Linked DNA regions of Caenorhabditis elegans. The protein of the gene in region 1 interacts with the protein of each later gene in a pairwise test. Each region holds a gene or a part of one and is shown on either strand. Other genes may lie near its edges.

Evidence for each region.
Region 2: the proteins of sup-12 (region 1) and toe-4 interact in a two-hybrid assay, tested with the Caenorhabditis elegans proteins (one large-scale study listed by BioGRID).
Region 3: the proteins of sup-12 (region 1) and etr-1 interact in a two-hybrid assay, tested with the Caenorhabditis elegans proteins (one large-scale study listed by BioGRID).

The regions. Positions count from the first base shown.
Region 1 is NC_003284.9:3,899,022-3,909,903, reverse strand, and holds sup-12 (RRM domain-containing protein), read right to left. Parts: upstream 5,314-10,882; 5' UTR 5,266-5,313; coding exon 5,184-5,265; intron 4,991-5,183; coding exon 4,833-4,990; intron 4,414-4,832; coding exon 4,284-4,413; intron 4,096-4,283; coding exon 4,026-4,095; intron 3,766-4,025; coding exon of another isoform or gene 3,750-3,765; exon of another isoform or gene 3,720-3,749; intron 3,091-3,719; coding exon 2,930-3,090; intron 2,859-2,929; coding exon 2,713-2,858; 3' UTR 2,233-2,712; downstream 1-2,232. Other genes in the region: T22B2.5 (Neur_chan_memb domain-containing protein), read left to right, coding at 1-73, 1,727-1,760.
Region 2 is NC_003279.8:12,736,087-12,746,968, reverse strand, and holds toe-4 (RING-type domain-containing protein), read right to left. Parts: upstream 8,883-10,882; 5' UTR 8,867-8,882; coding exon 8,693-8,866; intron 8,643-8,692; coding exon 8,430-8,642; intron 8,006-8,429; coding exon 7,310-8,005; intron 6,448-7,309; coding exon 6,199-6,447; intron 6,138-6,198; coding exon 6,000-6,137; 3' UTR 5,823-5,999; downstream 1-5,822. Other genes in the region: SUMO-activating enzyme subunit uba-2, read right to left, coding at 1,695-2,186, 3,291-3,477, 4,185-4,321, 4,467-4,555, 4,920-5,139, 5,185-5,259, 5,314-5,364; vps-25 (Vacuolar protein-sorting-associated protein 25), read left to right, coding at 10,382-10,452.
Region 3 is NC_003280.10:158,213-169,094, reverse strand, and holds the start of etr-1 (RRM domain-containing protein), read right to left. Parts: upstream 5,995-10,882; 5' UTR 5,954-5,994; coding exon 5,771-5,953; intron 4,690-5,770; coding exon 4,452-4,689; intron 4,395-4,451; coding exon 4,269-4,394; intron 3,025-4,268; coding exon 2,945-3,024; intron 2,343-2,944; coding exon 2,190-2,342; intron 2,135-2,189; coding exon 2,017-2,134; intron 1,922-2,016; coding exon of another isoform or gene 1,709-1,921; intron 1,201-1,708; coding exon 1,048-1,200; intron 921-1,047; coding exon 702-920; intron 553-701; coding exon of another isoform or gene 547-552; coding exon 406-546; intron 303-405; coding exon 72-302; exon of another isoform or gene 1-71.

The DNA.
Region 1 (10,882 bases):
CCACTTATCACATTTTTGCTAACATGGATAAACCTGAAAGTCTCGAGAATACGCTGAAATGTGTCTTACACGTGTAAGTATTAGGTTGGTCCGGAAGTCTTTATAACTGGGTTTGCTTTTCCACCGCTCGCCACAGTTGCACTTTGGTATTCCCTCGTTGCTAGTGAATAACAACAAGAGTAGGAACTTCATTGTAAGCAACACCTCATTCCCTTCCCTCTGGCCTGAAGTTAGTTAACCAACGATGTATGTCCCTAGTGCGATCCACATCCGATATGGTTTGATGTACCTCTTTCTCTCTCATACCACGATGAAGGAATCGGAAAGTCTCCTCAAGAATGTTTATGATTCACATGTCCCCTACTATAATATCATACGCAATTGGTTCCAAAGCTTCGAGAAGGACGACTTTTCTCTCGAAGACTCTGAGACCCCATAAATTGGATTTGGACACGTTGCAGAAAGCCATGGCAACGGATCCTTTCCAAATCACCCGTGAGCTGTCAACCACACTTGGGTCCCGTCAAACCAACATCGTACAAGATTCAGTTAATACAGGGTGGCCCATAACTATGCGGACCGCAAGTCGTACTCATAAAATCTGATTGGAACATTCAAAAATATGATAACAACACATATTTTATTTCAAATTTTCTAAGGAACAAAATTTGTTGTCAAACTTTCAAATTTTCCGCTTGTGAAATTCTACAGGCCTGCTGACATTCCTAAAAAATTTTGACGTTGGCACGCAACTCATTGGTGTTCTCCTTTTTGTTGTCATTTCTAGGTTCTATTGCAAATATCATCACTTTAGCAATCATATTTGGATTGACTTTTTTCTGAGAATCCGTTTTGCAATAAAATTCATAAATGTTTTCATCTGACATTGATGTGGTCATTGATTGAAGGGAGACAAATCAAGAACATCAGAAAGCCGACGTTCCACTTGGCACATCAGTTATGTAAAAAGTGAATGTTTTGATAAATAGCCATATGATTCTACTAATATTTTTCTTTCCTTGTGGCAACAATTATGTGCTTATCTCATTTTATGGCTGATATATACCAAAAACTGTCACTAGCTATTGAACTCCTTGTAAAATCGGCTGTAGTTACTGTCAAACAATCACCCAACAGGAGCTGGAATTTCATGGAACCAATTCCATATACTTCAACATTTATTAAAATATATTTTTCGCTTCCAAAATGTATACATTACTGTAGAAAAGATCGGTTTCGAAATTTCCACACTCAAAAATCGATGCGTGTCAAAGAGTCGTCAGTGTGGGAGATGATGCTAGTTTGACGACTCTGCCTAGATTGCGTAGTTTAACAAATCACATTTTTTTAAAGTTAGCTAATAGGAAAACATGTCAGCTATCAATGAACAAATAAAACAAAAATTTAAAATTTGTCAGGCGAGAAAAAAACATATTTTTGTGAGAGCAACTCGGTCCGCATAATTATAGGCCACCCTGTATTATTATCTCCTCATTTGTTTTAAATTTCTAATTAGATATCTAAGAATGCGAAGATTTATAAACAAAATCCCCTCACCATACTCAATTTTAAATATTGTTAGACTTTCTAGTCTTTGAACTTCATTCGAAAAAGTTTCAGAATATTTTAAAAATTTAATCATTCTATCGTGCTTTAAAAAGGGTTTTAAAATTGAGAGATGGGATATTTGGAACGGTAGTTTAATTTTATAACGTTTTGTTTTCAGTGGTGGCCAAAATGTCTCGAGCAGCTTAAAATAATTATTCTCTACCCTCATTTCGGTTAGTTATTCTACTATTTACTATTTGTAGATGGTTTCTCAAGGCATTTCAATTTTTTTTAATTTTCAGCCTGAAATGTCATTCGGAAGTGTTCAATGTCATCTACTACCACTACTATCAGTTTTAGAATTTACAGGATCGACAACTTCAATCAGTCAGGATATTATATTTTCAGAGCCAGTTTTTTCTTCTTTCACAGGTTCTTTTCCCTATTTTTTTGGATGGAAAAAATTCGTCAAAAAATTATCATTCATTCTAAAAGTATCATTCTGCCTAGTACTGTATTTTTTGTTTTAAATTCGATCTACGAAACTACAATATAGTATTGCATTATTTCTTACTGTTTGCCAAGATGACCTAATGCTGCAACTAGTTCCTGTTGTATCCATCTGCCTTCTGTTTAAACCCCCGTTCATTACAACTACTTCCAGTTTCTGCATCACACGTGATTAGGTTTTGAAATCGGTTTATTGTAAACATTAAATGCAGGAACATGTACGACTATTACGAACTCACCATATGAAATTAATTTGCAAATTCAATGAGGATGTGCAAATGGCACATTAAAATCAGGCAACTCTGGCGTTTCGGGAAAAAATTGAGAAGAAAAAACATCGAACGTGTAGAAACCCACATCAGAGATTTGTAATTTGAAATGAATAAGAAAAAAATTGACAAAATCAAAAAGAACTGTGACTAAAATTGTAAAGTATATGGGAATAAAGTTGAAATTGGAAGACTAGATAGAACTGTTTGATTTGCGTAAGAATCTGATATTTGGGTAGGACAAAGTTGTAAAATTATCAGTATAACTCGGGCAAATACCTATGTTCTCTATTGGCAAAATCAGTTGGCGAATTATTGCTGGGACGACAATGACAATCGGTTTTATGAATGAGTGAATGACAAATTGAAGAATATTATTAGGATTCTAGACACGTTGATGCTCAAGCTGTTGTTGTGCGGCAGCTAATTGTTGCAACTGTGGGTTTCCAATATTGTAGGCAGATTGGGGAACTAGGCCGTATCCTGCTGGATAGGCGGCGTATTGCTCAATTGTTGTAGGGGCGGCTGCGACTGAAAATGTTTTATTAAATTTGAAAAAAAAAAATTTTTATTTAATTTTAACTTCCTATCGTCGAACATACATTTTCCTTGGGACTGAATACCATAAGCGGCGGCAGCTTGTGGGTTCATTACTGCGGCCAGAGCATTATAATCGAACAATTGTTGCTGAGCAGCGGCTCCTTGTTGTGCCATCAACGGATTGACCAGTCCTGTGACAGTCGGATAATACATTTGAGGAAGTCTAAAAAAAAGTATTGATTAATTACCGAACACGGAATTGACAGGAGGATGTAAATGCCAAATGCTGGAAATGAGGCAACAGTGTTTATCACAATATCACCCAAAAAACACGCACATGCGTGATAAAAATTCACTTTTTTTGGTTCTGGAAAGTATAATTATTTTTGTTTTTGTTTTAACAATATTAAGAAACTCCACATTTTTTCAGTTCAGTTTTTTTGAGTTAGTGCAAAAGAAATATCTAACATATTTGGATAGAATGAAAAGTAAAATCATTGACAACTTCAAAATTCCAAAAAAAAAAGTATCAGAAAAGACGTAACCAAACTATAGCAAAGTTTAGAAAATGCGTGATGGTTTTAGTTAGGCAGCCAAACCCATTGACCTACAAAGAAATAATCATCAATCCCACCAATGAAGAAAACAACTTTGGGGTGCTCAGTTCATTCAGGACTATGCAAGTTTTCACCAAGGGAAAAGAGAAAAACTCGAAATCATATAGGTTTGGGAAATAGGTGAAAATGAAGAGAAAGAGAGTATGGACACGTCAAAAACACAGCACTATTGTATTCCGCTTTTGGTTTGGAAAATGAAAGTAATGATATTGGCACACGTCAAAGCACGCCTAACCTTTAGTTTTAGGCATCCACGGATTTCGATTCAACCGGCCACTTGTCTTAAAATATTTTGGTTTACAATCATTAATATTATTTAAGTTATTATTAAACGTGTGAAGATGGTTGAACACAAGAGTACTTCTCAAGTATCCTAGGCAACTTTTGAGCTAGAGCACAAAGTTCTACAGTGTTTTGTCATTGCTGTTGTTGTCGTGTTGTTTCTTTTTTCTGTATCAACACAACTCAATTAGCGGTGATTTTTGGATGAGATAGGAATTGTTGGAAGTATGTCACACACAGGCAAATCACCGAAACTTACCCCATTCTTGGTTGAAACAAAGCCTGAAGTTGAGTGGTGAGTGGAAGTTGAACTTGTCCAGCGGCCAGCGCTAAAATGACCAACTTGGTGATTTTGGTTAACACAGACAAAAACTGAATAGAGATGCGCGACACAAACAATATCCTTTGGTTATGAAGGTTGTGGAGGATTGATAATGTTTAGCAGAAGCCAAAACACACGGGGAGAATAAAATGATCTGAGAGCTGCTCAAGAGCCGCACAAAAATTCGAAACTTACCAGCAAGTTGCACATTTGTTCTTGGTTTAGCTCCGAGGTATGCCAAGTTGACATTAGCCTTCCTTCCATCAATGATTGGATTTGGATCTTTACAAGCTCTTTCTGCAGAAGCACGGTCCTTCATTGTTACCTGAAAAGTTATGTTTCATTAACAAACATATGTAAAGATCATGTTTTTTTGCGAAGAGTAATCTTTCCATCTTTGCTGTTGCAACTATTTGTTGAGATATATATGGTTGGGAAATGTTTGCTAACAAAATACGCGTGCGATTCCTATGAAGAGCCGCTTGAGAGGTCAAAGCAGAACCGCGAGATTTCGGAAATTTGAAGATTTCTTCATCCACCTTGTTCCCGAATTATTTTCCAATTTAGTGAAGTTAAATCAAACGAAATTGTTTCCTCTTTTATCTGGACGGACAAGATAAAAAATGGTTAATCATGTCAAAAGTGATTGATGATTAGAAACCGTTTCGTTTCAATTGACCTCCAACGTAAGATCTCGTGAAAAAATATCGCAAACTAGAAATTTTTGACATTCCAGTGACTTACAAATCCATATCCTCTGCTTTTTTGTGTGTTACGATCAGTGATGACTACAGCCTCTTCAATATCTCCAAACTGCTCAAAATACTCGTGAAGCGTCTTGTCACTTGTATGGTATGGCAGACCACCGACAAAGATTTTGGTGAACATGGTATCACGGGAACCTGAAAATGAATGGAGATGAACTAAAAAATTTGAAATATTTCCAGTTTCTATTCCTATCGCAAGTCTTCTTTTAAGTGGAACCATATGTGAGGTTACACACAAAAGTTGCATACCACTGTCATTTTTCCCTATCTTTTTCCCTCTCTAAACCATCATCATGTGACAATTCGATGGGGATCACAGGAAACTCACCAACTACTGGTTCGGCGTTGGTTGATTGTGCCAAAGCAGCGGCAGCAGCATGCACCAGTGGATCTTGGACTTGGCCGTACATTTTTTACTTGATTTATATAGGGCCTAGCTTAAATACCGTGAAATTGACCTGCAAAATGTTTTTGTTTGAAGTTTTGTATATATATACATAGAAATATGAGAAGTTTATAAACGATAATTTAAAAAAACATATACAACATCGAAGGTGTGAATCAATAGGAAATGAGCTAGAGCCAACATGAAACTGAAAACTTTACACTGCTATTATCTATCACTCGTCATGATCAATGAGTTATCAGAGACCTTACTTACCTCAGAGACCACATAGGTAGAGATAGTGAAAACTAAACGAAAGGCGACAAATCGCGAGAGAGAGATAAAATAGAAATGGATAAGAACGAGCCGACGAAAAGCTCGCGCGCGCACAAAATCCGTAGGTCTGTCTCCGGTGGTGGGTGAGCCTGTCAAAGTTTTGCTGCTCTCCAAACAGAAGCCAACCACCGCCCGCCTGTCGTCGCAAAAATTGACTCTTTCTTTCCAACACTCTTCCCCCCGGTCAATTTTTGCCATAATATTTCACCACAATGAGCCGTTGCGCAAATAACACCACCTCTGGAGTATCGATTTATGTCATGCTGATCCAGAAAAAAAAGATTGAAATCGATGAAGAGAAATAAAACGCGAAATAACAACAGAGCTCAACTGACAACGAGTGGGTGGATGTTGGGATGAAGTAAAAGAAGAAGGAGGAGAAGAATAAGAAGAAAGAAGGCTCAATCAAAGGATGCGACAAGGAGAAGTTGCTCCAAGAAGAAAAGAATAGAGACAGAATGAAGAAATAATCCATCTCTGATCACATTGCATTCATGATGTGGTGGTGGGAAATACAGAATAATACTTATACTGTAAGATGTTATTTGGAAAACAATTACGAACTGCAGTATAATTTTTTGTTTTTCTTTTTCTGTGTGAAATTTTAGCTGAGAGGAATGTACAGAGGATTTTGAATTTGGCGGCGATTCAAAAATGAAACAACCATTTGTTTGTGCCCAAAAATAGCAAAGAGAGCCCAATTTGTTGCGATGCTACAAAAAAAGAAAAAAATACCGTTCGCTCAATGTGCTCGGACTAAGACGTTCGCATGTTTGGACAATCCGAGAAAGGCAGCGAAAACAGTGGGAGGCAAAAGAAACAAACTGATGCTCTCCTCCTCCCGGGGGCTAGTCTTGTTTTTCGGGAATACAATTGCTTCAAATCTGTGCGTTTCGAGTATGGGAGTCTTTACCGCCCCTCGTCCTCACCGCCTGATTAAACAATTGGAGGACTTGGAAAGCTGTTGTTGAACGACGCAGAGCACTCTGAATATGGCGGTTCGTCACATTTACATGGAAAAACTTTAAGGATTCTTATGTGAAGTGCCATGTGCATTGAAAATATGGGAAAGTGTTGAAGATTTGAAACCCGGACGTGGTGGTGTTTCTCATCATATCAGTTTATCTTCGATAGTAAGCACAGAGACCGTATAAACCATGCAGAGAGGAAATTTCACTTTTTTATGTTATTTATGTCCGTCCGCAAAACTTCGAAGACACATGACTGAATGAAACTGTTTGTTACAAAATGATTGATTAGAGGGGGGGGGGGGGGGGGTAGAACTAAAACTGGAAGGGCTCTGAATACCAAATACCAGAACCAAATTTTTTACTAAAGGTGAAGAAGCTTTACAAATAGTGGGGAAAAAGGGGATACCATCGAGTTTTTGCAACTTTTTGAGAAAACTATAGCACTGTCGCATGTTCAAATCCGTACAATGTGTGAATATTAATAATTAAAACTGATGGAGACCATCAAACTGTAAGGAACATGTTTCAATCGATGACTTCCAAAAAAGTGGCAAAAACTGAGTAGTAACTACTTTTCAAAACAAAATAACAAAATTTCAACAAATAAAAAATTTTTGACACTATTTGATGAGCTTTTAACAATTTACATACTAGCTAGCATCATCTTGAATGATTCAAAATTAAAGAGAGAAAATAAACAAGCTCAGGTGCATCAAGAGCAGTCAGCTGAGTTTTTTTGCCGGATGAGCGCCAGCAGGAGTAGAAGAAGAAGGAGGTAGCAAAAATATATTTCGAGTGAAAAGAAAACTGGTCTTAAAGGCGGTTGGTTCATCGCCCCGAAAACAAATAGGCCAAGAGCCAACGAAAAAGTGCGAGCGCGAGCCGTTGAAGAACGAACGAAACATGAAACTTTCCCCGGCTCGAGGCCTACGGCCTGGATCGGGAACAATCTACTGAATTGCTTCACGCGGCGCGAAAAACATGCATTTTTCCATCACCGACGACGTGCGCACTGATGATGTCTTAGGGCATGCCTTTGATAACGGCGGCAGATGCCAAACCTGCTGATGTGGTCGCAAAAGAAATAAATAAAAAGTCAATTATGATTACGCGTGTTTTCGGCAATCGTCTCATTTATTTCATCTTCCTTTCTTCGAAACACCAGGAGAAAGTGACAGAATGAGTGAGGGAGGGGGGGGGGGGGGGCCCGGGGAGGGTTAGGGCAGAAACATTTTGAGACTTGTAAACAGTTGACATCTCTACCAGTGCAATAAATATACATGTTGAGCTCCTGTAAGCCACTCTGGTGGTCCTCTGGCAAGCAGACGCACCAGATGCCTGCGCAGAACAAATGTCGTAAGAATCGTGAGGCGATGGAGTGGCATAAAGGATTCATAGGGCTGCTGTGTTAACTGCTGGTACCAGCAGCAGCCTAAGATTATCATTCCACGAAACAGTAGTCTAATGCATAGATTAGGAGAGGCATACATTGGTGATGAGGAACGTTTTCTAATAACTGAAAACAAGAAACGAAAGAAAATGTCAGGAGAAACTTGTGATGGTGGAAAAATTTCATAATGGTTGAGAATAGAAAAAAGTCATTTACTTCCCGAATGCACAAGAAGTTCTAAACAAATTGGAAATACATTGTTTCACTTCTAAACATTTCTCAACTAGCTCGCCTTTATTTCATTTAACCTCTTCTTTTCAAAATACTCCAACCTCATCTCTCTCTCTCTCTCCCTCTCAATTTTCAATCAGTATCTGGAGAAATTCGATTTGCTGCTCCTATTGTGCAGAGAATTTCTAAGAGACCCCTAAGAGAGTGAAAATACGACACCGTTTCGAATGGATAGAGTCAATTGCGATGGAATGTGATGCGGTTAATCGAGCGAAAAGTGAGACGAGATGGCTGAGAACTGTAACCAATTGGAGGGACGAAAAACGGAAATCGAGACGTGAGAGGAGGCGGCAAAGAATGCTGTTGATTGCGTTTATTTTGGCACAAAGAGCAGCTAATTGAACAAAAGAGCTGAGAGGAGGATAGACGACAATAGGGAAATATGATGATAGATGGAAAAAAATTCTTGTCGAAAGAGCAAAATGTTAGAGAAATGGGAATTATGATCAACTATGGGTTTTGAGTAAAATATTGAAATATGGAGAGGTTCTGGAAAAATAAATTAGAAATAGAGGTGCAAAGAAAATATGCAAATAAATTAAACAAGCGAGCGCGTGCGATATTTCAGTTTTATTCACTTTGTAGCGACGGGAAGTGAAAGCCTACCGACTAACAATACACATAGTTAGAATGAATGAGGCCCGTCATCCATCTCGCTTTCGCCGCACGTTGTAAAGTGTCCAGGAATCGAATCCCGAGTCTGAATTCCAGTGCTTGTCTCTTCTTTATCCCTCTTCCCGCCGAGCATTGTGAGCGTGGGGCTCGGCGGGAAGGCAACTGTCGAGCAGCTGCTGACAACGTAAACACCATTCTTCAACAGGTCACCCTCCGCCACGACAAAATCGCTTTTTGCTGCTTTCTCACTCAGTTTGTCGGGGGGGGGGGGGGGGGCTCGGCGAGCTCATGCATTGTCATGTTTATGCTCGCCGTGCAGTCGCGATGGTTTAAGCATACAGATTATGGGTGTATGACTGTTAAGGATGATGGACATCGATTCGCGGATGAAATTGAGAAGAGTTGTGTTTCGGAAAAGTTTGGTCGAAAATTGCGAAATTTTTATGACAAATTAGTTTGCTTATTAGGACAATAGGGTTTGTTTAACAAATATTCAAAGTTTTTATATTCCAATTTGAATAGTTTGTTCGGCTAAAAAATTACCTATTACAGCACTAATTCATAACAGTTACCAAATAGTTTTGTTTTTTGCCATTTTTTTCGAAATTTAATAAAAAAATTGTTTAACACCTACAGATGAAAACAGAAAATAAATGGACAGACTTATACTATTCTTAGTATTTAAAAATGTTTTGGAAAATGGTTCACTAAAGTTAGGCAAAAAGTTTTAAATACGGCGATGAAGTAATAATTTTTTAGACATTGTTATGAATGAACAAATGAAGTGGCCTTGCACAAATTTTAACAAAGTTTTGAATTCCGAGAAAAATGTAATATAAACTAAGATGTGGGCTATCTTTGCTGGAAAAATGATTGGAACGGTATCAAGAAAGTTTGAAAATTTGAGAAGAAAAATTTAAAATCACATAAAATTTCGAAAACCCCTATTGAGAAACTGATGTTACAGAAAAATGTTTTTTTTCCCGAATTTTTATTAAAAATTTTCCAAAATACTTCGAAAACATTTTTTTTCCGTTTTTTTTTGAAATTGCTTATTTAATAAACATATTTGTCTAGCATCATTGTTTCAGGAATATTTGCAATATTTCCTAAGAAAAATTTAAGCGGAAGAGATTTTTTTCAGAGTGCTATAAAGTTGAATTGCAATTTAAAAGTTCCAATTTGTTTGAAACATTGGTCAGAAAATACTTTTGAAAGTGAAGTGGAAGTGACTGTTATAAAATGTAGTTTCAGAACTTGTTACGTTCTCACAAACCGTAATGTATGCCAAAAAAGTGTCGTCTTGCTTGTTTTAAAACTCGGTCCAAAAATAAAAATCTACTCTGAGTACCTACTTTTTTACCTAAAACAATTAGTCAGTTTAACATGGTTACAAAAAATGAGAATTTTGTAAGCTAAGATGGAATCAATGGCAAAATTCGGAAAGATACAAAGGTTGGCAAACAAGGACTACAAAACAAAGAAGCAACTCTCCGTGCTCTTTGCCTAATGCAGGTGTACGTTTCAATAGATTGAGTCCGTGGGAGTTCTAGGAGAAAAGGACGTGGGACCTGTGAACCTCCTTCACTTCTTCATCTGCTTCTTCTCTTTCTTTCTTTGTTTCGCCTCTCAAAAATGTGACGAATAAAAGAACGACATGCAGCAGAAGAGGAGCCTCACTCTTCCTCTCTCGGTCCGGATGGATCCTCCTCTACAAATTCCAATTCAATGAATTTCTGAGAGAATGCGTATGACGGACATATGGTTGCCAAATGACCTGAACTTGCCGATGGTCACTCTTTTTTGTGCTCAATGACTTTTAACTTTCCACCAGAATGAAATAAATCGAGAAGCTAAAAAGAAAAAGAAGAAGGAATAGAAAAAGTTAAAAAGTGCTAAACGTTAGTTGACATTTTGAAGTTGAAAATAAAATAGAGAATGATGACGAATAGGAATAGGCTTCCAACTGGGAGGAAATGTTTATATTGAAAAGCTGGCAATTTTCACTGCTTTTCATAGAGTCGTCTCTCACAAACGTG
Region 2 (10,882 bases), on another chromosome or scaffold:
AAAACATGAAAACAATAATTTTTGGTTTTTCTTTAGAAAAATCTAATTTTATCCTAATTTTCCGAAAATCTCGATCACAAAATCCATTTTTTGTTGTAAAATTTTTGAAATTCTGATGGATTTTCTCACTCAAAAAATGTACAAAATGGAATTTCACAGAAATTAGCTCGGTGGAAACTCAAAAAAAATCCAGTCGAAAACTCATAGAAAAACTGCAAAATTCCAATTTTTCTTTTGAAAATGCAGAAAAGTTGCGTTTTCAGCCACTTTTTGAGCTGAAAATGGTGGGAAATTTTAATTCTGATTAGAACATTTGAAAAAAAAAACTAAAAATTCTAGGTGTTTGTGAGAAAAACTGTGAAATTCGCAATTTTTGTTTTGAAATTTCTGCCTTTTCTGGAATTTTAGGGCTAAAAAAATAGAATTTTTGGCTAAAAATCAAAAAATTTTCATCGAAATTCCTTATTTCTCACATTTTTAAAATCATTTTCATATTTTTCAATTAAAAAAATCCATAAAATCGCATCCTTCCACGCGGATTCGACTGAGTCGTCGCATTTTTAAATTGTTGTGTTAAAAAACTTTTTTTAAAATCAAAATTTCATTGAATTTTCGTATTTTTCACTAAAAAATTGGCTGAAAATTCAAAATTCACTATATTTTCAGCATAAAAGCATGGAATTTTCAAGTTTTCTGCAGTTTTTTCGTATTTTTCCAACGAAAAATCATAAAATTTCAAATATTTCCACAAAAAAACTGGAATTTCACTGGAATTTTCGAGTTTTCCATGCTATTTCATAATTCCACAGAGTTTGATTATAAAGTTTTAAAAACTCTAAATTCTAGGCATTTTCAAATATTTCAAAAAATACCGTATTTGAGAAAAAAGACAGCAACATTTGCAAAAATGTTGACGTTTCCGGCCTTTTCTGGAAATTTAGGTGAAATTTTAGCATTTTTTGGCTGAAAACTTCGAAATTTTTCGCAAAAAACTTGAGATTCCTGTTTTTTTCATCAAAAAAGTCCTGAATTTCTCATATTTTAATCGAAAAAAAAATTCAAAATTGGCTGAAAATCCAAAATTCGTTAAATTTTCCACAGAAAAGCTGGGATTTCACTGGAATTTTCGAGTTTTCCAGCTATTTTTCCCGGATTTTTAACATTTTTCAATTAAAAAATCCATAAAACCGCACCCTTCCACGCGGATTCGACTGAGTCGTCGCATTTTTAAATTTGTGTTTAAAAAATTTTTGATCAAAATTTCATCGAATTTTCCCAGTTTTTTCACCAAAAAAATTGGCTGAAAATCTAAAATTCGCTACATTTTTAGTATAAAAGCTGGAATTTTGTGCAGCTTTTTTCCGGATTTTTAATGATTTTCAAAAAAAAAATGAAATTCATAGGTTTTTCACGTAAAAACAGGAATTTTCGAGTTTTCTGCAGTTTTTTCCGTATTTTTCTAACAAAAAAATCATGAACTTTCTAAATTTTCCACTTGAAAGTTGGAATTTCACTGAATTTTCAGTTTTTTCTGCACCTTTTTTTCGGATTTTTTATATTTTTCAAGCGAAAAACTATGAATTTCGTTAAATTTTCCACATAAAAGTTGGAAATTTCCTGACAATTTTCGAGTTTTCCAGCTGTTTTTCCTGGATTTTTAACATTTTTCAATTAAAAAATCCATAAAACCGCACCCGTCCACGCGGATTCGACTGAGTCGTCGCAATACTCGAATTACAAATCACCGTTGATCCTTCAATCACCCTCACAGCCTCAGTAACAATAATTCCAGCAACAATTGCATTAGTTGATGCAATTGCTGGAATAATATTTCCAGCCATTGCTTTAATATCAAATTGTGATTTCATCGGAATCCCAAAGATTTTCGCTCGAATATTGGCACAAGCAGCCACAAATGACATAATAATTGCATGATCTTTATCAAAAGCCAGCTTCACGTCTGGCTCCGCCCGTATTTGCTCCAAGAGCTCTTGAATACACGTGGAGAAGACTTTTGCACACGTGGACAGTGTCCAAATTGAAGTATCATCACGTTGAGCATCACACAGGGATTGAGGCTCTCCTCCGGTAGATGAAGCTGTATGGAATTCCAGTGGTGATGGACGTTTTCGTTGTTTCCAAAGGTGTTCCATTTTGCAAAGATATTCGATATCGTGCAGGAAAAGCTGAAAATTTTGGGGTTTTAGGAGGTTTTTTGGGTGGAAAACATTTATTTTTTGAGTGTGAAAATGGAGCTTTTCTGAGTAAAAATTTAAAATTTCAAGAGATTTAGATTGTGAAACTTGTGGAAAAATGGAATTTTTCGCAGGGCAAGTCTAATTTTTTGGCGGAAAATTTGGAGTTTTTGGATAATTTCGAATGAAAATCGCGTTTTTCTGGCTGAAATTTGAAATTTCAAGAGATTTTGGGGAGGAAATAGTTTCAAATTCTAATTTTTGTATTAAAATTTGGCATTTTACAGGATTTTTGGTGGGAAAATTCTAATTTTAGGGTGAAAATAAAACTTTTCTGGCTAAATTTCGATTATAAAAATTGAAAAATTGTGGAAAAAATGGTTTTTTGAATATAAATCCACCTTTCTGGCTAAAAACATGGTAATTTGTAGATTTAATAGGTTTTTCGAGTGAAAATCGAGTTTTTTGGGCTAAAATTATAGAAAAAGCGTATTTTTGGGTGAACATTTCTCTTTTCGAGTGAAAATGGAGCTTTTCTGGCTGAAGTTTTCAAGTTTTTGGCTAATTTCGGGCTGAAAATAGTGGTAAATTAGATTTTTTGGTGAAAATCGAGTTTTTCTAGCTACAAATTTAAAATTTCAAGAGATTTGGAGCCGGAAATAGAGAAAAATTCTAATTTTTGAATTAAAATTTGACGTTTTTAGAGGATTTTGGGTTGAAAATGCTGAGAAAATGGAGTTTTTGGCAGGGAACGTCGATTTTTTAAGTGAAAATTGAGTTTTTCAGGCTGAAAATTTGAAGTTTTAGGCTATTTTAGTGGTAAAAACAGTGAAAAAGTCGATTTTTTTGGGTGAAAACGAGAAGAAATCACTTGAAAATTGGACTTTTGTGCCGGAAATCCATTTTTTGGATTAAAAAGGTTTTTCTAATCAAGAATTGCGACGGAATCTCAATTTTTAGGCCGAAAAACTTAGATTTTGTGATTTCTTGGCTTAAAAATCGTATTTTCTTCCAGTTTTCCATCGAAATTTTGCGGAATTTCCGATTTTCCAGCCAATTTTTCACATTTTTTCGCGCAAAATCCAGGTTATTAACCTTGTCGAACACTTTTGCAGCATCATAATCCACACTTTCAGCCCATTGACGTGTTCCAACTGGCGCGGGCTCTTCTTTCATTGCTTCTTTCTCTTTTTCAGTGGTAACAGCCTCAGTATTATCCGGATCCACTGCATCCATGTCCGGTGACACGTCATCGTCGATATCCACCTCACCGAACAGCTGACTGAAATTGAAAACGTATTAAAAATTTAAAAATTGCTTTAAAACCTTGAAAAATCGGTTTTTTTTTCGATATTTTTGGATTACTGTAGCCTCAAAAGTATGCAAACAACGCCGGATCTTACGACAAAGTGCACAAATTTCCGAGGATCCTCCGACGGTGTTTGCGTACATTTAAGGCTACAGTAACCCAAAAATACCAGAAAACATAGAAACTGACGAGAAAATGCACAAATGTCTCGAAATTTTGGATTTTTTCATGAAAAATTCTAAAACTTGAGCGAAAAGTTTATTTTTTCCTTAAAAAATTCGGCTTGCAATTCAAAATTTTAAGCAAAAATCGACTAAATGCCCTGAATAATGCCATAAATATCCATTATTCAGCAAATTTAGTCAGTTTCTGCATAAAATTTCGAAATTGAAACCGAATTTTTCAAAAAAAAAAAACTTTTCGCTCAAGTTTTAGAGTTTTTCGGCGAAAAATCTTGAGTTTCAATACATTTGTGCCTTTTCTCGTTAGATTCTATGTTTTCTGGTATTTTCGGGTTACGGTAGTCTCAAAAGTACGCAAACACCGTCGGATCCTACGACAAAATGCACAAAATCCGCATTTTGGCGTGAAATGAGTTGCGGGAAGGCCACGTAGCCAGAAAATGTGCGAAATTTTTTATTTTTCCGTTGAATATCGGAATTTTCGTCAATTTTACGCACTTAAAGACGTGTTTCGCCCAAACTGTGCAATGAATATGCTCGCTTGGAGTATTTCTGATCGTACATCCCGGGTAGGTTGTCTGTTGAACTGGCTTATCCACACACTCGTAGCATTCCGTCTTTCCACGCATGATCACCTGGAAAAATTGCAATTTTTAACGTAAAAATGTATTTTTAAAACTTAAAATTACTAACTTTCGGTTAAATTTGTGTTTTGAAGCCAAAAATCACATTTTAAGGCCAAAACCGTTAATTTTTCATCAAAAATAGCGAATTTCTCACCGAAACTTGTCCAAAATAACCACCGGATCCAGAATCGATGAGTGGGCGGTTTGCCGCGTGGCACATCCGATTAACATAGTTTCTTGCCGCTGAAAATTGGATAATTTTTAGAAAAAAGTGAAATTTCCTTCCAAAACAGCAAATTTTCTACTATTTTCAGCAGGAAAAAGTCATTTTTCCTTTTTTCTCAGGTAAAATATACTGCTTTTGAGGATTTTTATGTGTAAAACCGTATTTCTGCGCGTTTTATGTGAATAAAAACACGTTTTTGAGCGTTTCCGGCAAAAATGTCACATTTTCCGACTTTTTCACTTGTGAAACTTTTGTATAGCAAATTTATGTTTTCCTTGCTTTTTGTAGTTAGAAACACATTTTTAGGCTAAATTGGCTCTTTTTTGCGCTAAAAAAGCCAAATTTCCAGATTTTTCTGCCAGAAAAGATGATTTTCCATGCCTCGATTGTCCAGAGCGTTGAGAACAATGTCGTATGCCTGGAAGAACTCCATATTGTATTTTTTCTCGAAGATACTGTCATGATCAAAGGTTAGCTCTATTTGTGGGCAGAATTGCTTCACAACTTGTGTCGCCGTCGCAGCTTTCGAGCTCGAAACGTGCTCTTTTCGGAATAAAAACTGACGGTTGAGGTTGGAAATGTCGATTGTGTCCAAATCGATCTGGAAATTCAATTTTTAAGCGATTTTCGCGACGAAAAATTTTACCACGTGGACTTTTCGAAATCCCGTAACCGCCAGGTTTTTCAGCAGCTCGCAACCAATGCCACCGGCGCCGATAACCTGAAAAATTGAGATTTTCGATATGGAAAACGTATTTTTTGGTTTAAAACCCACCAAAATCTTGGACTGGACAATTTTCTCGTGTTTTTCTCTCCAGGAAGGCATGGTTTTGGAGAAATATTCTGAAAAAATAAGATATTTCGAAGGAAAATCAGAATTTTTAGAGAAAAAAAAAGATGATTTCGCGATTTGAAATTTCCCGCGAAAACTGAATTTTTTTGAATTTCACAATTTTAAATCGATTTTCTGCCGTTTTAGCAGCTATTCTAGGGGTAATTAACTCAAAAATATTGATTTTTTACTCAAAAATCGCAATTTTCACGCGAAAAATCTGAAAATTCGAACAAAAAATGAAAATGTTAAAATAAAACAATCATTTTCGAAATTGGGCCAAAATTTTTGTTGCGCGTGCATTTGTGCGTCGCCGTGTTTGCGTACTTTGTCTACCGTACTCCTCAGAAAACTATTTTTTATTTTTAATTCCATTTATTTTTCTGCTAAACTACATATTTTCCTGTTATTTTCTTCAATTCCGGTGAGTTTTTCTTGTTAAAATCTTTAAAAAAATTAAATTTTTATTGACTTTTCAAGTTTTATGTTCAGAAAAATGGTAAATCCTACTGGAAAACAAAGGGGATGAGGGAGAGACTGGGGGGAAAAAGGCAGACGTAAAAAGCGAAAAAATATATATATTTATATATTCAAAGCCGACAAAACAACGAAGAAAAGTGGATTTAAACTCATAAACCAGGCTGTGTTCTCAAAGATTCAGGCCGATCGATTTCCTCCCTGCACATGGGGCACCGCTTGTTGATGTCCAGCCATTTATAAATACATTCCGGATGGAAAACGTGATTGCATCGTAGTTTTTGTATGCTCTGAACATGAAAATCATTGAAAATCACGTTAAAAACAACTAGAAATGCTCCAAAAACCAACCTCTCCATCCTCAAAACTGCTCAAGCAGACCGTACACGTGTCCTCGTCCTCTTCGCCGTCCGTTTTCTTCGCGTACACCGTCGGAATCGTGAATGTGTCGATTTCCACCTTCGAGGCACCGACTGGAAGATCCAAATCGAGTCCACCGAACATATGATGCCGATCGATTCCGTATCGCTCGGACGTCGGGAATAGAAATTGCTGGGAACGGAACAGCTCAACGTATTCTCCAACGTAGCCTGGTGCGTGCTGAAAAAACATTCGGTTTGGAGAGGTTAAAAATCTCGAAAAGCTTCAAGAGCAGCCCTATTTCTAATGTAGGAGCCTAAGACTCTGAAGCTCGGCTCTCAGAGCTGAAAATTCGCATTTTTCAGTGATAACAGCAATTTTCAAACTCGAAAAGTGGTTTAGAAGCTACAAAAATTCATGGAGAACCTTGTTGTACACTAGAAATTCCGTAACACTGTGGAGCTTGACTCCCAGCGCTTTTTGGCCTGAAAATTGCATTCTCGATAAAAACTTTAAAATCGTCAGTTTGTGCAAATTGAAGTTTCAAGAAGTTTAAAATCTAGAAAATTGGCTCCTGAAGCTCCAAGAGCAGCCTTATTGAAAAATAGAAGCCTACGATTCTGGAGCTCAGCTCCTAATACTTTCGGAGCTTCAAAGTGCTCAATTTTGCTGCTGCTAAACGCTCAGCAACTTCTGAAACTGCACGTGGTGTCAGGCAGTCTCATTGCGATTTGATCTACAAAAAATGCGGGAATTTTTCTCCCAGAAAAATGTGACGTCAGCACACTCTTAACCATGCAAAATCAGTTGAAAAGTCTGCGTCTCTTCTCCCGCATTTTTCGAAGATCAAACCAAAATGGGACACTTCACCACCAAGTGAAACTGCTCCAGAACCAATAAAATTCTCAAAATTCAGCTGAAAGCCTGAAATTGGCCCAAAAACGGTCTTTTAAACTTCAAACCTCAGCCCGATGCCCACCCACGGAGCCAAAGAGCATTTTCTCTAATCCCAACACGGATTATCTTGAATTAATCGAAAGCTTAACGTTTTCTCAGTAAAGAAAAATGATTAAATAGCTCAAAAAAAGAAAAAAGAACTCACCACATTAATAGGTGAATTTCTGAAGGCGTACAAATTGTACGGATTGTTCTGCGGACGAATCGGAACCGGAGCGTGAAGCGTCGGCTGTGGAGGTGGTGGAGGTGGTTGTGGTACCGCTGCCGCCGCCGCGACGGCGACTACTGCTGCAGCGGCTGCAGCGTGTTGTTGAGCAACTGCTGCCATCGGAAGTACCATCATCACCGGATAGTTTTGTGTGAGTGGCAGTGAAAAATAGGGGAATGTTGATGCGAGTGGATGCGCACGAAGCATGGCTCCTGGAGCAATCGTCGGCGACACCGAATTGGGACCCGTTTGTGGTTGAGGTGGAATTGGATTCAATTGGATATGCAGAAGCGGTTGCTGATGCTGTTGTTGTTGTTGCTGATGAAGGTGTGGACATCCCGTCATACAGTTGTGTTCTGAACCGGGAACAGGACCCGTAATCTGCTGAAGACGATGCTCCAATTGCATCCGCTGTGACTCGTGCTGGGTCTGACGCTGGCGACGGGCTCGTCGAGCTTGTCGCATTTCCTGGTTGCTGCGCATGGCTCGAGGGCGGTCTGATGACGATGATGCTGACGTTGAAGGTAGAGATGAAGAATTTGACGTGATTATTTGTGAATGAGGTTCATCGGAAGTGTTCGTTCCGGATGTTTCGAAGGTGATACCGTCGAGTGATGATTGGTCGAGCAGTTCCTGAAATTATTAAAGATTGATAATATCCCAAGGATCCTTAAAACCATGTTTTTATAGTAAAAGACTAGTTGATCTAGCTCAGGATCCTAGCCGAATATAAAGATCGTAACCCGCTAGAATCTACTGATCTTTCTGAAAATCCTAAGCTCAAGTGGTATATCCGAGGATCCCAAAGATCTCAGAGGCAGATCCTCCTGTTCCGATGCTTATCCTAGGCTACCTAGATGAGGATCATAAGGATTCTCTTTCAGTTATCAGATCTTCCAGTGGGATCACCCATGCCTATCTTGTGAATCAAAAAAGCTACAGAGATCCTTTGGATCTCAGGATCCAGAGGATCCCAAGGCTTCCAGCCATCCCCACCGGAAGTTCTCAGTCAATCCGAAGCCGCCACTAACGACCTTCCGCCCCCGAAACCAATTACCTCGCGCCGAACCCGTTTCATATCGGAAATGCGAGTGCCCCCATCGAGCACTTCGGAGACGTCTTCAGTGTCGGTCTGCAGTCCCACACTTCGTCGCGGGTACATCGCCTCCTCATCTCGTTGACGCTTCCGATCTCTCACACGAGTCACGGTGCTCATGAGCTCGGCGATCACTGGATTTTGTGTCTGATCTCGGCGTGGCATCATTTGAAGCTGAAAATTCTCCCAGTTTTTCGGTTAGAAATGACCAAAATGGTACTCACCCTCGGCGCAGTTGTCGGTTGCCGATCGTACGGATGTGTCTGAAGCTGTGGATTCATGCAGAAAGGCCGACGAATTAAGGATTCCAGCATGCAACGATCGCCGAACGGTTGAGTTTCGGCAACGACGGTTGCCGATTGTGTGCTCGGGTCGACAAGAAGCGGTGCGGAGTTCATCTCCAGCTGGAGTTACCTGGAAAATATTTGGATTTTTTGCTGCTCTACGGAGCCAAAAATGAGCTTAAGAACGGAAAATAAAGGATTAATTTCTCACGTGATGAGTCAGATTTTAGCGTCAAAAATCACTTTTTCAGCCCTAAAATCTGCTGAAAATCACTGAAAAAATCACTTTTTCAACTCATAAGGTTCATAAGGTGAGAAAAAGTGAATTTTCAACTCAAAAAATTTTTCTAAAATGGCGGATTTCAGTTCAAAATTTGCTGCGGCTTACGATTAACCCTGAAGCCCATCATCGATCAATAAAATCGATAAATGGGTCTCGCCACGAATCGAAAAAAAAAGGTGGAAAAGTGAAGTAAAAAATCACGAGAGAAACCCTCGCCTTCTGATATAAATGCCAAATGACCATGACACCAAAAAAAAGAAAAGAAAATACCAGTTCACTGATTAACAGTGTGTCTGTGATAGGGAGGAATGCGAGGCGATATTGATTGCCACGTGGCAAGCTTGAACTCTGGGAGCTTTTCGTACGGAAAAGCCTTAAAAAAAATAGGAAAACCTATTTAAAAAAAGTGGAAATTCCTCTGAAAACCTCCTAGAAATTGGGATAAAAACGCCCAAAATTTCACATGAGTGTATTGATTGATTTATTGATCGATTGCCATGTGGCTAGAGTTTCACAGGGATATTTTTCACTGGGAAAAGCCTTAACAAAGAGGTGAACATCGCTTGAAAATGTCGAAATTCTTGTGAAAAACTCCTAGAAATCGATCGAAAACCGCCCAACATTCCACGTGAGAGTATTGATTGATTTATTAATCGATTTCCACAAAGCTAAAGCCTCACCGGGGTAATTTTCATGGGAAAAGGTTTCGAAAAAGCCTTGAAAAAGAGGTGAAAAGGTCGGAATTTCTCTGAAAAACTCCTAGAAATCGATCGAAAAACGCCCAACATTCCACATGCGAGTATTGATTCATTTATTGATCGATTTCCACGTGGCTAGAGCCTCACCGGAGAGGCTTTTCATACACAAAAAACCTTGAAAAAAGGTGGAAAAAACGCCGAAAAAAGGGGGAAAAACTGGTGAAAGCAGCATCAGCAGCAGTCAGCCCCAGCCAGTCACAGTGTGTGTGTATCTGGGGAAAAGGGGAAAACGACGCGTTGTGTCGTTGGGGGGCCTGAGAGGCGTGCGGGGGGCACCCGGCATTCTCTGTGCCCTCTGCCTGCCTGCCTACTCTCTCGCCTACTTTCTCTGTCTTATCCTCTCTCTCTCTCTCTCTCCTTCTTTCTCTCTGGGAGATTCTGAGGGCTGTGTGTGAGAGAGAGAGAGAGAGAGAGAGAGAGAGTGTGTATTGATTGGGCTGTCAGACACACACACACACACACACACACACACACGCGCGTGGTTGTTCTCTGCGTCTATAATTCTCTCTCCCTCTCGTCCTCTCTCTCTCAATTGAGGATTCCTCCCAGGGAAGGTGGTGGTCCCCTTTTTACTCTATTTTATTCTAGATGGCTGCTGCAACTACTACAGCTTCAGCATTCAAATGGCCTTGGCAATACGATTTTCCGCCATTTTTTACGTGAGTTTTTTTGGATTTTTTGAGTAAAAAAATTGGAAAAATTCCAATTTTTTGACCCGAAAACCTGCTAAAGTAGGTGAACTTGGCTCGGAGAGGCTTAAAAAGCTTGAACGGCCTATTTCGGCTTGAAAAGCCTTAATTTTAAGTCTGAAAAGCTCAAAATTAAGCAGGAAATAGCTCAGTTTTAAGCTAGAAAAGCTTAGATCGAAAAACCTTAGTAAAAGCCTAAAGAGGCTCGAAATTGGCTTGAAACTCCATTTTAAACCAATTGCAACTTGAGTTTGAGCAGCAAAAGCTCAGAAAAGCTTGGTTTGAAAAAGAAAACTATGAGCCTCAAAAAGAGCTTGAAAGGCCTAATTTTAAGCCTAAAAATGTTTGAAAATGGCTTAAAAAAGGGCCTGAAAGGCTCAATAAAAAGGCAAAAGATGCC
Region 3 (10,882 bases), on another chromosome or scaffold:
TTTTAGATTTTTTTTTGACAAGAAAAAACTGAAAATTTTCGAATTTTTTTTCTGAAAAAGATAAAACTCACCAAAGCATTTCGACAAATTCGTGACTTTATCGATGAAAACCTTCGCCGACAGTATTCCACCAAACGGCGCAAACGTATTTATCAAGTCACTGTCTCCAAAATCTTGTGGTAAGTGATATATGAAGAGATTCGCACCGTCTGGACCCTTTACGTCACCGTTTCCAACCATTTGAGCTGCTGAGGTTGTGGCCTGCACGCCAACGCCGCCGGTTGCTTGAAGATTTGCAAGGACTGAAATTTCCTATTTTTCTTACAATAAACAGTAAAACTGAACATTTTGAATTTTTAGATTTTTTTTCGAAAAACACCAAAAATGTTTTAAATTTTGACTCACGTGCATATTGCTGCATAGCCTGGAAATGATCCAAAGCGGCGGCTCCTCCTGCAAATGGGGTCAACGCAATCTGTTGATGATTGGCGAGCGATGCAGCGACTGGTGATGTAGTCTTTGCACCAGCCATTCCACCGGCAAGTCCTGGAACTTTATTTGAGGTGAAAAATGAATAGGTAATGAGCCTAATGGTTAGAAAGGTGGTGCGGAGAAGCTTATTTTAGGAAAATAGGAAAATGCATGCAAAGTTGCTTCACACCTAAAACCGTAAAGCGTTTGGAAATAGAAGTAATATGTACCATAGGCCGCGGCAGTCGCAGGAAACCGTTGCTGCAAGTAAAGCTGAGCTGGGTGACGAGGAATCAAGGGCCCATATCCATATTGAGCCATTTTAGACGTCGGTGTCAAACGATTGTTCATCACATTGTTGTCATCCGACGATGAGTCAGTGGCATTTGAAGCAGAATCCGGTGACCCTGTTGAGTAGTTTGTCGAGTATTGATGAGCAAGAAATAGTCCTGAAATTGATGCAAGCATGGGATAGTAATAGGTTAGAAAAAATGTGGAGAAATAGGTTAGATTATGGAAAAAAGCTGTAAGGAAACACGCACACTGCAATTGAGAGAAAAAAGTGCTAAATTCTACCTTGTTGCTGTTGGCTTGGAGCGCCCTGTTGCACGGCGAACCCTTGGAGTGCCAGCATTTGCTGTTGATGAGCAATCTGTGCCATTGTGATAGCGTCGAATTGATTTTGAGCAGCCATAGCTGGATTTCCAAGCAATGGGTTACCTGCAAAAACTTTTATCGGATAACTTGAAGCTGCACAGGACGGAAAAATCAAACCCCAATAAAAGAAAACACACTATGCACTCTTTGCATTCAATTAATTCAACATGCTATGTTATATTAGCGGATATAAAACGCTACTGCCGAAACAAAAACAACCTATTCGTGAATTTAGCTAAAAAGGTAAATCGTTCTGTTTCGACAAATTTGCGCGTCAATTGTGATGCATTACATCGGTGTGTCTGCAAACACCGAATGCGTCATACTTAACGCACAAATCTTTTTTTCGGAAATATTGTGTTAGTAAGAAGGATGATTCACACAGTAGGCTATCGAGAACACAGTAAGCGAAAATTCCGTCCAATCAATCAATCCACGTGGCAAATGAGAAAATGAGGGGGGTGAGCAACCAAAATAGAGATTAAGCACACAGTAGTGTCCACATTCCGACGAGAGGGATACGAGAACACACACTTCATATATCATCCACAAGGCAACCTTCAGAAGCCTAATTTCCCACCTAAACCTTGTTGCTGCGGATGTTGTTGTTGTTGTTGTTGCTGTGATAACTGCTGCTGATGCTGCTGGTGATGATGTGAAGCCGACGATGAGGTTGATGACGTGGCAGTCGGTGCCGGTGACGTCATCAACGCTTGGTGGCGTGGCTTTTCCGATGAGGACTTTGCCGACGCGTCGTCACCGCCTTCGGTTAGCTTGCCGAGCGCAGAGAGCACTGAATCGGATATTGCGACCGTGGGTTTTTTTCAGTTTTATTATATTTTATTGAACTACGTGTACAATTTTTTAATGATTATCAACTAAGTTTACCTGTTCCCAAAATTCCTAAAACATTTTGTTGCTGTTGGTGCTGCTGTTGTTGTCCCTGTTGTCCGTTGATAAGAGACAAAAGTGAGGCTACTGCTTGATAGTTTTGTCCACCGCCGAGCTGAAACTTTTGATTTGGTTTAGGAACAAAATATTGATGTTTTATAATATTTTACCTGCTGCAACAGCGCCGGATTCAAGTTTTGAAGCAAGCTTGCCGCGCCTCCTTTCGGTGAACCGGCTCCACTTCCAGTGATCATTGATTTCGTCTTCACGTCTTTGTCTTTTTGAGTGTCAGCGAACTTTACAACAAGCGGCGCTGAGCATCCCTGCAATATTTGATTTAAAAATTAGAATTCTATAGAAAGAACCTATAAAAATTGTAATTTTTGAATAATGATGAAGGAAAAAACTACGTTTCTAAACATATAATCTAAATTTGTAAATAAAGCATGGGAAAATATATGACTTTGAAAATTCAACACTCAACATGGAAACCACATTCATAAGAAAATTAGTGAAACTGCTTTAAATTTTGACATTACCTTTTAAACTTCAGGAAAAATGCAATTTATTTTTATTTTTAATTTCATAATAACTATAGTAGTTAATATTTTCTCGTGACGAATTTTTATTGCTTTATTAGTCTCAAAATTGTCTGAACACACCGAATTTAAAAATGAAAATTCTCGAAAAGTTCTCGAAAAAGTTTTCAGACAATTTTGAGTCTAATAAAGCAATTTTAAAGACACTAACATCTTGACTACACTATCCTTAATGAATAGAATTGGTAAAACACACTTTTCCGTTTAACTTTGACAATTTTCAGAGATTTTAAATTAAATTTAGAGTTTACAGCAGAAGGGTTCCCATACATACAAGAAACATATAAAAATAAATATAAAAAAGAGACAAAAAGCTATATGCGAACCTCCATCGTTTGCGAGTGATGCATTTCTTTGGTGGCGACGACGGCACAGCTGCGGTTTGTGAACGTTACAAATGCACATCCTGTTGGAGAAAAAACAAATATGAAAATATTGATTAACATTTAGAGATAGAGGAATCATCGACATTGGGTATATGTTGTGTGAAGCCAATTTCAGACTTCAAACTTTTATTTCGACACTCACTTGTTACTTTTACATAGAATACCAGGGCAAGAAAATGAAACTTTCATTTTTTTCGAAAAAAAAATCAGGACGTTACTTTGATTTTGTAGAACAGAAATTTGTTTTTTTTGTAATTCACACGTGGCAATTTGGTCTGAAAATTATGATTTTTTTTTTTTTAATTTTTTAGTCGAAATTTTTCAAAAACGTTGGGGTACTGTAGTCGGTTTATATTAGCTTTTGAAGCTACAGTAACCCAAAAATTTTGACATATTTAGTTTTCGAAAGTTTAACTTTGTTCAATATCGATCGAATATCGGCATCGAATATCGATAATCGAGGATTTATCAAGATAATTGAATAATCGGAAAATTGGATAAAAATTTCTGAAAAAAATCCAATTTTAAATAACTTCTATTTTTGACTCTCATTAGGATCAACATATTTTTGATTTTCAATTTTTTAAAAATTTATTTTAAAAATACCGGAAAATTGAAAGTTTCGTTAAAGCTAGGTATACTAACTTTTTCCGAAACATTGCTCTTCAAATTCACAGCTTTTTATAATTTTCTAACTTCTAGCCAAAAATGTCCACCTTTTGGGTTACTGTAGTTCAAAACTCAAAAGGTCAAATCAGGGGTGGGCGGCAAACGATTTTTCCGGCAAATCGGCAAATTTCCAGAAATGAAAATTTCAGGAAAGTCGGCAAATTGCCGGAATTAAAAATTTCCGGCAAATCGGCAAACCGCAAATTGCTGGAATTGAACATATCTGGTAAATCGGCAACCGGCAACCGGCAAAAATTTGCCGCACACTCCTGATACACACCACGCATTTTTTTGAGGGTACTAGCCAAAAATTTCAAAATGTTGGGTTTAAAGTCATACATCCAAATTTACCAACTTTGTTAGAAAATGTTCTAAACCCTGTGACAATCGTATCAAGACCATTTTGCCACGTGTAAATCAGCTCAATTTCGAATTTCGGAATCTTCTTCTTCTTCCCACCTTTTCGCTCAACATGCATGACACAGAAAATGATGAAAACATAGAGAAAATAGTAAAAAAGAGCATAGAGACAGGTAAATATTTTTACACTTTTTTGAAAAAGATACCCTACTTAATGCGCCCTTCCCCCACTTACCTCGACTTTTTCCGTCCTGATCACGAAGCACACTACAATCTTCAATATGGCCGAATTTGGCAAAAATCTCACGCAGATTCTCCTCGTTGTGCTTCTTGCTGAGCTGGCCGATGAAAAGTTTTCGTTCTGAAATAAATTATTTCTTGTAATTTTTATACTATTTTATATTTATCAGTAAATTACCATTTCGGTTCTCAGTATCAGCTGGTTTCATTTGTACCGGATGATGCATTCCTTCAATAACCTTTATATTGTGAAGGGCTCCTTGAGCCTCTATCGCGTCTTTTCTGTGATAAAATGTGACAAAGCAGCAGCCTTTGCTAGCTTGTGTCGATTTGTCACGGAGTATGTTACACGAGAACACTGATCCGTACTTCTCGAATAATCGCCGACAGTCTGTCTCGTTCCACTGGCGAGGGATCTGCAAAATTTGTATTGCGTTGAGTTTGAATTTTAAAATGTCATTTTTCTATTAAAATAATTGATTTATGGAATTATTCAAGTAGTGTCGCGAAATGTATTGAAATACAGTCTAATTTTATTTCAATAAATTTCGTGATATTTCGCGACACTATTTGAAAAACCCCATTATTTGTTGAAAATTGATGTAATTTAAAGGTGGGGTACCGAAATCTGAAACTTTGCTTTTTCAAACCCAAAATGACCAAAAACTATCAAATTTCGTAATGAGACGTTTTGAAATTTTCTCAAAAACAGAGTTATGGCGGTTCAAAGTTCTGCAAAAAAGGTCATTTCCAGCTAAATAACTTTTTTTTGAGAAATTTTCAAAACGTCTTATTACGAACGAAATTCGGTAGTTTTGGGCTATTTTGGTTCTAAAAAATCAAAGTCTCAGATTTCGGTACTCCACCTTTAAACTTTCAGAATAATATGATTTCTATCTTTGGGAAAATCACGAAAAATATAGATGTTGGCTACGTGTTTGAAATGACAAAAAAAATATGAAATATGACTTGCAATATTATTCCCACGATTTATTATTGTTCGAGAGAGCTATGAAATTCCCATAAAAAGCCACATGTCATGTGGATATTTGATTCATTCTTTTTCACAAAAATTCAATACACATACAACTGTGTTAATTTAAACCCTACTCTCCGCAAAAGTCCATATCTTTCCCCTTTTTGTTGTTGCCCTACTTTTCTCTATCATCATTACTCTAAAAAATTGATGATCATTGTCCGTCTTCATCAATTTGAGAATGCCCTTGAGTCGAGAAAACCTCCCTCATCATTTATATGGTAATGAACGCGTATGAAAAAATAAGGGGGTCGAACCCAAATAGACACAAATCCAATACCCCGTCTCCTCGTTATTCAGTTTTATCAAATTTGTGTAGTAGTAGTGAAGTGTCTCAGTAAATGGATGAGCGGGGGGAGTCTCATTGTGTGCATGTATACATGAAATTGAATCGAATTGGGAGATTGGGGTGAGCCAATTATGCCCACTTTTCGAATAAAAGTTTGAGAAAGTATGATTACCTGGCCGACGAACATCTTGATCGCATCTGTGTCTGGCTCCGATGGGGACGGTGACACGTCGTTGTCCGCTGCCGTGGATGGTGTTGTGTCCTTGGCATTAATGACGGTGGACTCCGCAATCGGAACGACTACTGACTCCATTTTTGGTACCACTAGAACTGCTGGTAGCACAGCTCCGCTCATATCATGGAAGGATGAATTTCGGAAGGTTGAGATTATGGTGGTGTGAGGAGATGTGTCTGAAATGGAGAAATTTTTTTTTAAAGTATGAAAATGATGAAATTAACAAAGAGTGTTAAAAGCAATGGAAATGCACGAATCTAGCAGTTTCATGGTCAAAACTATAGAAAAATCAACTATACGCATAAAAAGCAATAACTTTGAAGCAAGGTAATTATCAAAGCGAAAGGTATTTTATCGATAATAATATTGCTTTATAGGTTGTAAAAATATTGTGAAATATAAGCCGTATATTGAAAGAGAAGAGAGATCGTCAAATACTTTTGCCAATTCTACATAACATTTTTTTATTAAAAGTTAGTGCCAAAATATGGAAAAATCCTTATTATATTTTCAGATCAACAACTACTTCATTTCAGAACGAGTTTTAAATTAACAATTTTGGAACAACATGCCGTAATCGGTCATTTTAGATCTAATATGTTTATACGTTTCAAGAGCCATTATAGATATAGATTTCCAAAACTGATATATTTTTCCGAGGGAAACATTATTAGAGCTGTATACTTAAAAATCGAAATAGAAAGCGAGAACAACTAAAACAGTACTATTATCGATGAAATACCTCTTTGTCTGCCTCTTGCCTCTCTGATACCGCGCCGAGAAGGACGGTATTAACGGTGATTAAGACATTTGGAAGACGAGAAGAAGGACGGGGGAGAAAAAATGTTGTGTTATCAGCCGAGTTTATCAGTACTGCGTGCGCGCAAGGACCGTGTGTGTAAAGTTCTGGCCAGAGAAGAGATTCTTATCAAATCATTCACTCTTTTCTGACATTAATCAGTTCAAATGTGGAAGAAATATATTGATGAATGGGGCGGGGATCACCTCAATTTGAACTGTTCTCAGAGACTATCGCCACCCGACTGCTGCTGCTTTTTGCGGCGCGCGGGGCAGTAACAATACAAACAGAGAAGAACAAAAATATATTCCAGCAAAGGGACGTCTTCTATGTATTTGTTGAACACAAATAAAACAGTTGTCTGCAACGTATTTATATGTTCTCCAACGATTCGGTCAGTTCTGGATTCTAAGATTTTCCCCTTCTAAATTTAGAATATTCTCAGAAACTGTGTCACGAATTATGCTGCAGCGTATCAGACGGCTAATACATTCTGGATCCAAAACCGACAAAACGTTCAGTCTTTCATAATGTCAGTCATCTCGTTTTTCTTATTTTCCCCTAGCAAAGGCAACAACGGGGAGCCGGAAGAAAACCGATTATAAATGGAGTAGCCTGAAGATTGGCAGGGAGAAAAGAATGACAAGAAAATAAATATATATGTCTGAAGTCATTTTCTCTAACATGAAATGGAAGCCAGCTTACCTCCAGGCTCCAGAAATTGGCATGTTTTATTTGAAAAATGTACGCAAATTTCGTTGTAAGTTCTTAGGGTAATCTGCCTAATGAGAAATTTTGAAAAGGTTTCACTCTAAAGCAAAACACACGTTGAAAATACTTCGTCTATCCGAAAAGAAAGGGCGGAACCAAAAGAACACCGTTGTTGTAAAGATAGCCTAGAAGACTTAGTGAAGACAGCTGCTCCTTCAGGATGGATGCTCACGAGCTACCGTGTGTAATAGCACAGAGAGCATCACAGCTCCAAAGGCTCCCGAGAGCATTTTCTTTAGATCTCTTTTAGTGTACACCATCACTGCTGGTCCGTGCAACGAGAGAAGATTGAAAGAAGACGACGGCAGGGGGATAGCTAATTGTGTTGAACTGACCATTTGTCAATCTCCACGTCTTATTCTCTATGTCTTTTTGTCCCGATGAGGGGAGACGGGTCGTTTCATTTCACAGTGATGATGAGAATCATTCAATGCAAAAAATGAACAAATCTTTTTTTTGTGAAGCGTAAATCGACATCATTAACACACACAACACGATACGATACGACAGCCAGGACGGGGGTCAGGGTCTCGACACGATTATCCCTTTAAAGAAGGTAATGAAGGTGACATACGACAGGTGGCCATAAAGCCTGAAACATTCTAGAGGATACGGTAAGTTCCTAGGAGTGTTGTTTGTTCGGATATAGAAGCTTCAGACTCTAAAATTCAGAGGCAAGAATCTAGTCAAATGACTAGAGAATTGGGAAAATGTAATCTTTCTTGCCGTGTGACTTTGTGCGGCACATATGTTTTCCGTTGTCACTTTCTCACACTTCCCGCAGTATGTAATTTTCCAGATGCCGCTTTTCCTGGAAAACCATTGGCCCCGAGGGTTTGGAACCTAATTTAATCCTCGCCGATTCCGTTTTTGGAAGCTTTGGCCTCGAAGTATCCTGATCTACGAACACCTGGGTGGGTGGTGTAAAACAACCTTACAGATCATCAGAACTAAAAACATCTGGCGAACATATGCTCGGTTAAACTGACGCCTTCCGGAATAAGAATGAAGTATAATGAGAGTTGTAGGATATACGAAATGTTTAGCACATCTGATTGTAATAAACAATGCTGGTCTACTGTAGTTCTGAATGATTTCAGGATTTTCGAATTCATTGGCTATTTGTCCTAAAACGAATATCTTTTGAAATCTAAGATTGGCAGCTGTTCAAAAATCTATAAATCTAAGGCTGAATCTCGGGAAAGTGGAATATACGTTGACATTTACTACCCGCATCTATTCAGAATCGGAATATATTTTTTTAAACTGTCAGAAAAAAAAATTATTGAACAAAAATGAAAAAAGAGCATTTATTTCAAACGTTTTTGTATACAATCTTCAAGAACGATTAGTCGAAAGAATTCAAACTGATGTTTTTGTTCGTAAAAAATTTGTAAGTTGGTATTTTCTTATATATTGATATTCTGGAGAGATTCCAAAACCGACATACATCCGATTTTCTCGAAATTTTCAGGTTTTCGGGTAAAATGAGTGCCAGTTTCGATAATTTCCTAGTAAGACGGTTAACAAAAATATCCATGTTGCAACTATTCAGATGTTCTAATGTAATTCAAATTTTGCCATCAATTGCCAAATTATCAAACTTTCTGGCTCGGAAAAAAAAACCAAAAAGCTTCCAAAAAATGTGAACTATTGAATGAGAGGATGTGTCAGTCGCGAAAATGAAAGAGGAACGGAGAATTGGCTAAAGGCGAGCCGTGTGTGACGGGGGCTCATCTAATTCATGGGTACGTTCCCCGTCCCGTCGAAAGAGGAAGAGGCGAATGGAATGGAGGGCATAAAAATAAATGGGAACCTTTTTTTCCAAGCTGACAATGTGAGAATGGATGGAATTTTTGGAAAATTGTGAATTTTCTCAGCAAAATATCCGAGCAGATTACGGTTTGTTTGCTCAAGAAACGGGGAGCCAATTACCGCACAGTGTTTGCTCTCGGAGCCAGCCACTGGTTACTGTAGTATTCAACGAAAGTGAACCTAGTCTAGCGAAACCAACAAAAAACAAACTTGCAAGGACAACGACAAGAATATACAAATTGTATAAAACACCTCCCGCTGAAAGAAAAGAAAACAGTGACGATGGGAAGAAAAGGAGACGAAAAGATGTTCAGGAGGGTGGCAGACAGTTTAGATAGTCATCTAGGCACTATGTAAGACGGAGAGAAGGTAGACATCTGAAGATACTCCCCTCTTTTTTCCAATCGAATCGATAGAGAGAAGACAACGGAGGAGGAAAGATGAAGAAAATGAATGATGATGCATCGAGACGGTGGTAAGATGCTTGCACAACCCGTCAGGTGTTATAGTCGCTTAATCAGACGCCTTTCGTTGCAAAGCTTGTGATAATTTGAATAATTTTTAATTTGGTAAAATGTAGGAGTGACCGAATATAATTTATACTAAAAAAAACATTAATACATATGTTCCAAAAAAATTTCCGTTTGGCAATTTTTTTGCCAACAAATTCGGCAAATTGCCGGTTTGCCGATTTGCCGGAAATTTTCAATTCTGGAAATTTGCCGAAAATTTTCAATTCCGGCAATTTGCCGGGTTGCCGATTTGCCGGAAATTTTCAATTCCGGCAATTTGCCGGATTTGCCGGAAATGTTTAGAAAGACGAAAGATTTAAAACTGTGTCTATTTTTTTGAAACTTTTTCGTTTTCTTTATATATTTTCATAGAATTTTCTTACTTTTCGAAATAGTTGTAGGAACATTCATAGGATGCGTACAATTTTGCCGATTGAAATTGAAATTCTGGAATTTCAAAAAAAAAATGCGCAAAAACACAATTTGTCGAAAATTTTCGGCTATTGCCGTTTTTCCGGCAAATCGGCAATTTGCCTTGCTGGAAATTTTCGATTTCGGCAATTTGTTGGAAAATGTCGTGAGCCGCCCACCCCTGGCCCAGACTCCAAAGCAAGTCCCGTTCAGTTGTAGGCTGGAGCTGTTTTTCACAACAGCTCCAGCCTTCTGTGTCCGAATCCGCTTCGAGAATTACGGCTCCCATGTCTTCCGTTCAAACTGACTTCTTTTATGATTACAGGTGTTTCATCTTCTTGCTTCCTCGTTTCCCCGGAGTCTCTCACTTTCGATTTCAATTCGAGTGACCTAGTTTTTTCAACCTCGCGGCCCCCGAATTGAAAATGTTCCATTTGCTATCACAGAGGCGTACACACACACACAAGCGTTAAACCAAAGGAGGCAAAGACCTAAGATTGAAAGGAAAAAGAAGAGACACCGCAGTAGTAGTAGTAGAAGTCGTCAATTGAAAGCGGTTTGACCTTCGGGGGCAGGGGATATGGGGCAGAAGGGAATTATAGCAACATTTGGGTGAAAAAATAGTAATACTTTCTGGAAAGGAAAAGCCGACATCCAACCAACAATCATTCAATGGGAAATGTGGCTAACCTGCGTAGCCTTGGCTAACGAAGTTATCGGTGTCTCCGGAAAACAACGAGA